Saccharomyces cerevisiae S288C: one gene and its partner. The protein of the gene in region 1 binds, or shares a complex with, the protein of each later gene. Each region holds a gene or a part of one and is shown on either strand. Other genes may lie near its edges.

The links.
Region 2: DNF1 (region 1) and YNR048W share a complex: the UniProt entries of both Saccharomyces cerevisiae proteins name them as parts of the flippase complex.

Annotation. Positions count from the first base shown.
Region 1 is NC_001137.3:510,685-518,199, forward strand, and holds DNF1 (aminophospholipid-translocating P4-type ATPase DNF1), read left to right. Parts: upstream 1-2,059; coding exon 2,060-6,775; downstream 6,776-7,515. Other genes in the region: PAB1 (polyadenylate-binding protein), read left to right, coding at 1-1,422. UniProt on the Saccharomyces cerevisiae protein: Catalytic component of a P4-ATPase flippase complex which catalyzes the hydrolysis of ATP coupled to the transport of glucosylceramide, phosphatidylcholine, phosphatidylethanolamine, and small amounts of phosphatidylserine from the lumenal to the cytosolic leaflet of the cell membrane and ensures the maintenance of asymmetric distribution of phospholipids.
Region 2 is NC_001146.8:709,958-713,619, forward strand, and holds YNR048W (putative aminophospholipid translocase regulatory protein), read left to right. Parts: upstream 1-1,672; coding exon 1,673-2,854; downstream 2,855-3,662. Other genes in the region: serine/threonine protein kinase FPK1, read left to right, coding at 1-1,247; MSO1 (Mso1p), read right to left, coding at 3,066-3,662. UniProt on the Saccharomyces cerevisiae protein: Accessory component of a P4-ATPase flippase complex which catalyzes the hydrolysis of ATP coupled to the transport of phosphatidylcholine and small amounts of phosphatidylethanolamine from the lumen to the cytosolic leaflet of the trans-Golgi network and ensures the maintenance of asymmetric distribution of phospholipids.

The DNA of each region.
Region 1 (7,515 bases):
AAGGGTAGATTATGCCGTATTATGTGGTCTCAACGTGACCCATCATTGAGAAAGAAGGGTTCTGGTAACATCTTTATCAAGAACTTGCACCCTGATATTGACAACAAGGCTTTGTATGACACTTTCTCTGTGTTTGGTGACATCTTGTCCAGCAAGATTGCCACCGACGAAAACGGAAAATCCAAGGGTTTTGGGTTTGTTCACTTCGAAGAAGAAGGTGCTGCCAAGGAAGCTATTGATGCTTTGAATGGTATGCTGTTGAACGGTCAAGAAATTTATGTTGCTCCTCACTTGTCCAGAAAGGAACGTGACTCTCAATTGGAAGAGACTAAGGCACATTACACTAACCTTTATGTGAAAAACATCAACTCCGAAACTACTGACGAACAATTCCAAGAATTGTTTGCCAAATTTGGTCCAATTGTTTCTGCCTCTTTGGAAAAGGATGCTGATGGAAAATTGAAGGGTTTCGGGTTTGTTAACTACGAAAAGCATGAAGACGCTGTGAAAGCTGTTGAAGCTTTGAATGACTCTGAACTAAATGGAGAAAAGTTATACGTTGGTCGTGCCCAAAAGAAGAATGAACGTATGCATGTCTTGAAGAAGCAATACGAAGCTTACAGATTGGAAAAAATGGCCAAGTACCAAGGTGTTAATTTGTTTGTTAAGAACTTAGATGACAGCGTTGATGACGAAAAGTTGGAAGAAGAATTTGCTCCATATGGTACTATCACTTCTGCAAAGGTTATGAGAACCGAAAACGGTAAGTCTAAGGGTTTTGGTTTTGTTTGTTTCTCAACTCCAGAGGAAGCTACTAAGGCCATTACAGAAAAGAACCAACAAATTGTTGCTGGTAAGCCATTATACGTTGCCATTGCTCAAAGAAAAGACGTAAGACGTTCTCAATTGGCTCAACAAATCCAAGCCAGAAATCAAATGAGATACCAGCAAGCTACTGCTGCCGCTGCCGCCGCCGCTGCCGGTATGCCAGGTCAATTCATGCCTCCAATGTTCTATGGTGTTATGCCACCAAGAGGTGTTCCATTCAACGGTCCAAACCCACAACAAATGAACCCAATGGGCGGTATGCCAAAGAACGGCATGCCACCTCAATTTAGAAATGGTCCGGTTTACGGCGTCCCCCCACAAGGTGGTTTCCCAAGAAATGCCAACGATAACAACCAATTTTATCAACAAAAGCAAAGACAAGCTTTGGGTGAACAATTATACAAGAAGGTTTCTGCTAAGACTTCAAATGAAGAAGCAGCTGGTAAAATTACTGGTATGATTTTGGATTTGCCACCTCAAGAGGTCTTCCCATTGTTGGAAAGTGATGAATTGTTCGAACAACACTACAAAGAAGCTTCTGCTGCCTATGAGTCTTTCAAAAAGGAGCAAGAACAACAAACTGAGCAAGCTTAATGCTCTATGTAATCACCTACTTCCCTACTCAACAAACTTATCATCTTTTTTTTCTCCCTTCCCTTTTTTTTTTGTCTTAAATACTAGTTATTATCCTTTGTAACCTAAATACTCGCTCTTATTGACAAAATGCAAACGTTTTTTGTTTTTAACTGTCAAGAGAAGTATCATTTTACTATTATTAGACTTCATTACTGAGTTTATTAGTTGCGTTTTTTTGAGGTCTCATTATTAACGGCAGAATGTTAGTTTTCGCGGAAAATAAACAAAATAGCACGGAAAAAAGACCAACAGGTTCCAGGAAAATACTAATTTACAAAAAATTGACAAATCAAGTGAGGGTACCTTGCTATTCATCACCGCATTCAACTAACTGGAGGTACAAAGCTGATAAAATTTCACAGAGCAAAGTCTCACTTAGCTTTTACTTTATGAAATTTGACCTTTAATAACCGAAGGTCATCGTAATACGCAACTCAGACAGTTTTAAGTGGATTTTTAGGGTCGCAATTAAAAACACTCAAAAATTAACCGGAGGTTGAGCAAGGGAAAGCAACCGTAACAGAAATCCTTTATTTCCTCCTGGAAGTGAAATAAAAACGCAGTTAACTTTAAAAAGGAAAGTTAGTTGATAATTATGTCTGGAACTTTTCATGGCGATGGGCATGCTCCCATGTCGCCCTTTGAAGATACATTTCAATTTGAAGATAATAGCAGTAATGAAGATACACATATTGCACCTACCCATTTTGATGATGGTGCAACAAGCAACAAATACAGCCGGCCACAGGTCAGCTTCAATGATGAAACACCCAAAAATAAACGTGAAGATGCAGAAGAATTCACATTTAACGATGACACAGAATATGACAATCATTCCTTTCAGCCAACACCGAAACTTAATAATGGATCTGGGACGTTTGATGATGTGGAATTAGACAATGATAGTGGTGAACCGCACACTAACTACGATGGTATGAAAAGATTCCGGATGGGTACAAAAAGGAATAAAAAAGGAAACCCAATAATGGGAAGATCTAAGACCTTGAAATGGGCTAGGAAGAACATTCCAAACCCATTTGAAGACTTTACGAAGGATGATATTGACCCTGGTGCCATAAATCGTGCGCAAGAACTAAGGACTGTGTATTACAATATGCCCTTACCAAAAGATATGATAGATGAAGAAGGCAACCCCATTATGCAGTATCCTCGTAATAAAATCAGAACTACCAAATATACCCCGTTAACATTCTTACCAAAAAACATTCTATTTCAGTTTCATAATTTCGCCAACGTTTATTTCTTAGTTTTAATAATTTTAGGTGCATTTCAAATTTTTGGTGTCACGAACCCTGGTTTAAGTGCGGTTCCGTTAGTTGTCATTGTTATAATCACTGCGATCAAGGATGCTATTGAAGACTCAAGAAGAACCGTCCTAGATTTAGAGGTGAATAATACCAAGACACATATTTTAGAAGGTGTTGAGAACGAAAATGTCTCAACCGATAATATTTCATTGTGGAGAAGGTTTAAGAAAGCAAACTCTAGACTCCTTTTCAAGTTTATACAATATTGTAAAGAACATTTAACTGAAGAGGGCAAAAAGAAGAGAATGCAGAGAAAGCGTCATGAACTAAGAGTACAAAAAACTGTTGGAACGAGTGGACCCAGATCCTCTCTAGACTCCATTGACAGTTACAGAGTATCTGCAGATTATGGCCGTCCTTCATTGGATTATGATAATTTGGAACAAGGGGCCGGTGAAGCCAATATAGTTGATAGATCCCTACCACCCAGAACTGATTGTAAATTTGCCAAGAATTATTGGAAAGGTGTCAAGGTTGGTGATATTGTTCGTATCCATAACAATGATGAAATCCCTGCTGACATTATCTTACTTTCAACGTCGGATACAGATGGTGCCTGCTACGTAGAAACTAAAAATTTGGATGGTGAAACAAACTTAAAGGTACGCCAATCCTTGAAGTGTACCAATACTATAAGAACGTCAAAAGATATTGCTAGAACAAAATTCTGGATCGAAAGTGAAGGGCCCCACTCAAATTTGTACACTTATCAAGGTAATATGAAATGGAGAAATCTTGCAGATGGCGAGATACGAAATGAGCCAATTACTATTAATAACGTTCTGCTTCGTGGTTGCACTCTTAGAAATACTAAGTGGGCAATGGGTGTTGTAATGTTTACCGGTGGTGACACAAAAATCATGTTAAACTCTGGCATTACACCCACCAAGAAGTCCAGGATTTCAAGAGAACTAAACTTCTCTGTGGTGATAAATTTCGTGCTACTTTTCATCTTATGTTTTGTTTCTGGTATTGCAAATGGTGTATATTACGACAAAAAAGGCAGATCACGGTTTTCCTATGAATTTGGAACAATTGCTGGGTCAGCGGCGACAAACGGTTTCGTCTCATTTTGGGTTGCTGTTATTCTTTACCAATCTTTAGTCCCAATCTCTTTGTACATTTCTGTGGAGATCATCAAAACTGCACAAGCGGCCTTCATTTACGGAGACGTTTTACTCTACAATGCCAAATTGGATTATCCTTGTACACCAAAATCCTGGAATATTTCTGACGATTTAGGTCAAGTGGAATATATATTTTCTGATAAAACAGGTACATTAACTCAAAATGTAATGGAGTTTAAAAAATGTACTATCAATGGTGTTTCATATGGAAGAGCTTACACCGAAGCGTTAGCGGGATTAAGAAAAAGACAAGGTATCGACGTCGAAACCGAAGGTAGGCGTGAGAAGGCCGAAATTGCCAAGGATAGGGATACAATGATCGATGAACTGAGAGCTTTATCAGGAAATTCACAATTTTATCCCGAAGAAGTTACCTTTGTATCAAAGGAGTTCGTTCGCGATTTGAAAGGGGCTAGTGGTGAAGTACAACAAAGATGCTGTGAGCACTTTATGTTAGCATTAGCTTTATGTCACTCCGTCCTTGTAGAAGCAAACCCGGACAATCCAAAAAAACTGGATTTAAAAGCTCAATCTCCAGACGAAGCAGCGTTAGTAGCCACAGCTAGAGATGTAGGATTCAGTTTTGTTGGAAAAACCAAAAAAGGGTTGATAATTGAAATGCAAGGTATTCAAAAAGAATTTGAGATTCTAAATATTTTGGAGTTTAATTCATCGAGAAAAAGAATGTCCTGTATTGTCAAAATTCCGGGTCTGAACCCAGGGGACGAGCCTAGAGCACTTTTAATTTGTAAAGGTGCAGATTCCATTATATACTCAAGATTAAGTCGCCAGAGTGGTAGCAATAGTGAAGCTATTTTGGAAAAAACTGCTTTGCATTTAGAGCAGTACGCTACTGAAGGTTTAAGAACGTTATGCATAGCTCAAAGGGAGTTAAGTTGGTCTGAATACGAAAAATGGAACGAAAAGTACGATATTGCTGCTGCATCATTAGCAAACAGAGAGGATGAATTAGAAGTTGTTGCAGATTCCATTGAACGCGAATTGATATTATTGGGCGGTACAGCTATCGAAGATCGTTTACAAGATGGTGTTCCGGATTGTATAGAGTTGCTTGCAGAGGCAGGAATTAAATTATGGGTTCTTACGGGTGATAAAGTTGAAACAGCTATAAACATTGGATTTTCTTGCAACCTTTTGAATAATGAAATGGAATTGTTAGTTATTAAAACAACTGGTGATGACGTGAAAGAATTCGGATCAGAACCAAGTGAAATTGTGGATGCTTTACTCTCCAAATACTTGAAGGAGTATTTCAACTTAACCGGTTCAGAAGAAGAGATTTTTGAAGCTAAAAAGGATCACGAATTTCCGAAGGGTAATTACGCCATCGTTATCGATGGTGATGCTTTGAAATTGGCGCTATATGGTGAAGATATAAGAAGAAAGTTTCTTTTACTCTGCAAGAATTGTAGAGCTGTCTTATGCTGTAGAGTATCTCCATCTCAAAAAGCAGCCGTTGTTAAGTTAGTCAAGGATTCTCTAGATGTCATGACACTAGCCATCGGCGATGGTTCCAACGACGTCGCCATGATTCAATCTGCGGATGTTGGTATTGGTATTGCCGGTGAAGAAGGTCGACAAGCTGTTATGTGCTCAGACTACGCCATTGGACAATTCAGATATTTGGCTAGATTGGTCCTCGTTCACGGTAGGTGGTCTTATAAGAGACTGGCAGAAATGATTCCTGAGTTTTTTTACAAAAACATGATTTTTGCTTTGGCATTGTTCTGGTATGGTATCTATAATGATTTTGATGGGTCTTACCTGTATGAATACACATACATGATGTTCTATAATTTGGCATTTACATCCCTACCAGTCATCTTCTTAGGTATTCTGGACCAGGACGTGAATGACACAATATCATTAGTGGTCCCTCAGTTATACCGTGTTGGAATTTTAAGGAAAGAATGGAACCAAAGAAAGTTCTTATGGTATATGTTGGACGGATTATATCAGTCTATTATCTGTTTTTTTTTCCCTTACTTGGTTTATCACAAAAATATGATAGTTACGAGCAATGGGTTAGGATTGGATCATCGTTATTTTGTCGGTGTTTATGTGACCACTATTGCTGTAATTTCGTGTAACACATATGTTTTATTACACCAATATAGATGGGATTGGTTTAGTGGATTATTCATTGCACTGTCTTGCCTCGTAGTTTTTGCATGGACGGGAATATGGTCTTCTGCGATAGCTAGTAGAGAATTTTTCAAAGCTGCAGCGCGTATCTATGGAGCACCTTCATTTTGGGCTGTTTTCTTTGTTGCCGTGCTGTTCTGCTTACTGCCCCGTTTCACATATGACAGTTTTCAAAAATTTTTCTACCCAACTGATGTGGAAATAGTAAGAGAGATGTGGCAACATGGCCATTTCGATCATTATCCTCCTGGTTACGATCCAACAGATCCCAACAGACCCAAGGTCACAAAAGCTGGGCAACACGGAGAGAAGATTATAGAAGGCATAGCACTTTCCGACAACTTAGGAGGATCGAACTATTCAAGGGATAGTGTTGTCACAGAGGAGATTCCAATGACTTTCATGCACGGTGAAGATGGAAGTCCTAGCGGATATCAGAAGCAAGAAACCTGGATGACTTCACCCAAGGAAACACAAGATCTTCTTCAATCGCCCCAATTTCAGCAGGCCCAAACGTTCGGAAGAGGCCCATCAACCAACGTCAGGTCATCCTTGGACCGCACAAGAGAACAGATGATCGCCACTAACCAACTAGATAACCGCTACTCTGTGGAAAGAGCGAGAACATCTCTAGATCTACCAGGCGTAACTAACGCAGCCTCCTTAATCGGAACACAACAGAACAATTAATAATGATATCCGAACCATAGCTGATGGAACTCCGCTTTTCACTGTATATATAATATTACATAATATTACTGGATAAGCCTTAGAAGCCTTAGAAGCCTTAGAAGCCTTGGAATTCATGCATACTACAGCGTTAACTCTTTCTTTTAGCAAGTTTTAGTAGCGGACGTGTGGGTTTCTTTGTTCTATAATTAACACTCCCGGTTAACCCGGATCGCTATTATTCAAGGACGCACAATGGTGGGCTAATTTTTTCTTCCGATGGAAAACTGACGCCAGCACTTTCCAGCGCTGGGAACTCTCCACTAACTGGCAAAAAAATTGATTAAGGTCATGATCAAAGGAATTTTTGAAATGTTGTAAAGTAGAGTTAAGAATTAATCAAGCCGTGATACGTATGTTTTTGACTAGGTGAGAGACTATATTTATCAAAAATAGTTTTTTATACTAACAGAAAGTTTATTATATCATAGAAATCCTAGGCCTATTGTTATTATTTGCGTGAAAAAAGGTTCATGCCTAGTTATTCAGGATATTAATCAGGCATAGTCATAGTTTTGTAATACACGTCTTTCACTCCTATTTCCGGTTAACATTCGCTAATATCCATCAAATTATTGACTTTTTTTTCAGTGGATTTGTTGTTAATAAAGGAAACAATCAGATCAGCCATTTAGGGAAGTCTTTTAAGAAAGCTCAGAAGGAGATCTAAGACAAGAAGCAAGGCAGTCTTGATTTATCGC
Region 2 (3,662 bases), on another chromosome or scaffold:
CTAAATCTTTCAGCAATAAATTTCAAGATATCATGGTGGGACCACAGTCTTTTGAGAAAATAAGATTGCTGGGCCAAGGTGATGTAGGTAAAGTTTTCTTAGTAAGAGAGAAAAAGACGAATAGAGTGTATGCTTTGAAAGTCTTGAGTAAAGACGAAATGATAAAAAGAAATAAAATCAAACGTGTTCTGACAGAACAAGAGATTCTTGCCACCAGCAATCATCCCTTCATCGTCACACTATACCATTCGTTCCAATCTGAAGACTATTTGTATCTCTGTATGGAATACTGTATGGGCGGGGAGTTTTTCAGAGCTTTACAAACAAGGAAAACCAAATGTATATGTGAAGACGATGCCAGGTTTTATGCCAGTGAAGTGACAGCAGCACTAGAATATTTACATCTGTTGGGTTTTATCTATAGAGATTTAAAACCAGAGAATATTTTGCTGCATCAATCAGGCCATATCATGCTTTCTGACTTCGACTTGTCTATTCAGGCTAAAGATTCCAAGGTTCCTGTTGTCAAGGGTTCCGCTCAATCAACCCTTGTTGATACCAAAATATGCTCAGATGGGTTTAGAACCAATTCCTTTGTCGGAACTGAAGAATATATTGCCCCTGAAGTCATAAGAGGTAATGGCCACACCGCTGCGGTCGATTGGTGGACGCTAGGGATTTTGATCTATGAAATGTTATTTGGTTTCACTCCATTCAAAGGCGATAACACAAATGAAACTTTTACGAATATTTTGAAAAATGAGGTCAGTTTTCCCAATAACAATGAAATCTCCAGAACTTGTAAGGATTTGATCAAAAAATTACTGACAAAAAATGAATCTAAAAGACTGGGTTGCAAAATGGGCGCTGCCGACGTGAAGAAACACCCCTTTTTCAAGAAAGTCCAATGGTCTTTGCTGAGAAATCAAGAACCGCCTCTGATACCAGTGTTATCTGAGGATGGATATGATTTTGCTAAATTATCATCTAATAAGAAGAGACAGACTAGTCAAGACAGCCATAAACATCTCGATGAGCAAGAGAAAAATATGTTTGAAGAACGAGTTGAATACGACGATGAAGTCTCTGAAGATGATCCATTCCATGACTTCAATTCAATGAGTTTGATGGAACAGGATAACAATTCAATGATTTATGGTAATACCAATTCTTATGGGAAAATTGCATACACTCCAAACTCCAACAGATCGAGGAGTAATAGTCATCGAACCTTTTTTAAGAGATAAAGGGGGCTTTGACGTATAAGTGTCGGTATTTTTTTTTTTTTTATTGATTTTTTTTTCACTCTTATTTTTTCCCTCATTTATTCATCATACATTTAACGAACTCTATTTCTTTTCAAAATCCTTATCTACCTATTTTTTTTTCTTTATTTTCTTTCCTCTGTCAGTTAGTCAGTAGTGTGTAACTTAAATAAATCATATATCGGTGTTTCAATTTCTAGCATTCTGTGTAAACATCAGATGAAGCATTGCCTTTCTTTTCAATGAACTCTATGTAGTTTTTTCGATTTGCTTGCGTACTATTTTTCACGCGATAGTTGAAGAAACGATAGAAGGATGGCGCAATATACAAGTTAAAAGCAAATAGATATCTAATCAATAGTTAACATCTAGAATAAAGTGCTGGAACTTAGATTTTTTTGTGCAATATGGGACTGATATTAAGGTGGAAAGAGAAAAAACAGTTGTCTAGTAAGCAAAATGCTCAAAAATCCAGGAAACCGGCAAACACATCGTTTAGACAACAGCGCCTCAAAGCCTGGCAGCCCATCTTGTCGCCACAGAGCGTACTGCCGTTGCTTATTTTGATGGCATGCGTCTTCGCACCCATTGGTATAGGGCTGGTGGTCAGCACGATAAGTGTCCAAAGACTAGTGGTAAACTACACAGAATGTGATGCATTGGCACCGGCGAAGCATTTTGAAACGATTCCCTCCGAGTACGTGGACTACCACTTCAGTAAGAAAGTCGCAGTCCAACCTCAATGGATGGTACTTACGGATCCTGAATTAGGCAATCAAACTTGTCGAATACAGTTCGAAGTTCCAAATCATATCAAGAAATCTACTTATGTTTATTACCGCCTAACAAATTTCAATCAAAACTATAGAGAATATGTGCAATCTCTTGACCTAGACCAATTAAAAGGAAAAGCATTGATCGGAAATGATCTGGATCCAAACTGTGACCCTTTAAGGACGGTAGAAAATAAGACCATATTCCCCTGTGGATTGATAGCAAATTCGATGTTCAATGATACATTCGGCACAACACTTACTGGTGTAAACGATACTGCAGATTATTTGCTTACCACAAAAGGTATTGCGTGGGACACCGACAGCCACAGATATGGAAAGACCGAATACAATGCATCCGATATCGTACCGCCCCCAAATTGGGCCAAGTTATTTCCCAATGGCTACACTGACGATAACATTCCAGACCTACAAAACTGGGAACAGTTCAAAATATGGATGAGAACTGCTGCATTGCCCAACTTCTATAAGCTAGCAATGAAAAATGAGACCAATGGGTTAGGTAAGGGTATTTACATTGCTGATATAGAACTCAACTACCCAGTAAGATCTTTCTATGGAACAAAATCTTTTGTATTAACCACAAACAGTATTATCGGTGCTGGAAACGAGGCATTAGGGATTGTTTATTTGATTGTTGCCGGGATTGCAACTCTTTTCGCCATACTATTCCTGATAAAAGTCATCTTCAAACCAAGACCTATGCATGATCATAGCTACCTAAATTTTGAGAACAGCGATACCCCATTCGATGAGAGTAGTGTCGTTAGTATTCCATTGAGAGAAATTTTATGATTGATTATCATTTACTATAAAATCCCTGCGTTTGATTCGGTCTCTAGGGAAGCGTTGTAATTTCATGTATATTCAAAATAAGGACGAGGTTATATACCATACTATATTATCTCCTTGCATTCTGTATCAAACACTTTATTCAGTACATATACGATACCTATATATTCATTAAATGTTCTTTTCGCTTTATTTCAGCAAGGTATAGTGCTATTTAAAATCCATAATCGTTATTGCGTCTCTTTAGTCTGTCCTTCATTGCCATTACTCCACTACTTGCGTCTGGTGGCGGCGTTGGCGTGCTGGAGGTGTTGAAACTGTTCGACGTTTTACTTCGACCGAGACTTGCCCTGAATTCTTGGCCTGCTGAAGGTCTAGTCGGCCGTGATGAAGCTCTTCTCGGTGTCGCGCTAGAGGAGCTTGTATGATTATTGTATATATCTTGAAACGATTTACTCGCAGGCGTGTACTCCGGTGTGTTCCCGTTTGAAGAAGGTGTACCCATAGGATCTTCTGAAGAAGCCTTCCTTCTGTTAGAAAAGGATGGCGAGAAATGACGCGAGTTTTGCTTCTTCATATCATGCTTCACTTGAGTATCTAATATTTTACGTTCGTTCGGTAAATCTTCCTTCTCCCCCAACCATCCTGGGAACCCCTGGAAAGGATGCTGATTTTCATAGAATTTCACAAGCCCTTTATGGACCAATGTAGTATTTACAGTATCACCATCTTTTTCTGCTTTAATGGATAAATGTGCCAACGATGTAGATAACGATTTGGTTGACGACTTAAACTTGTTCCAAAATCGCCC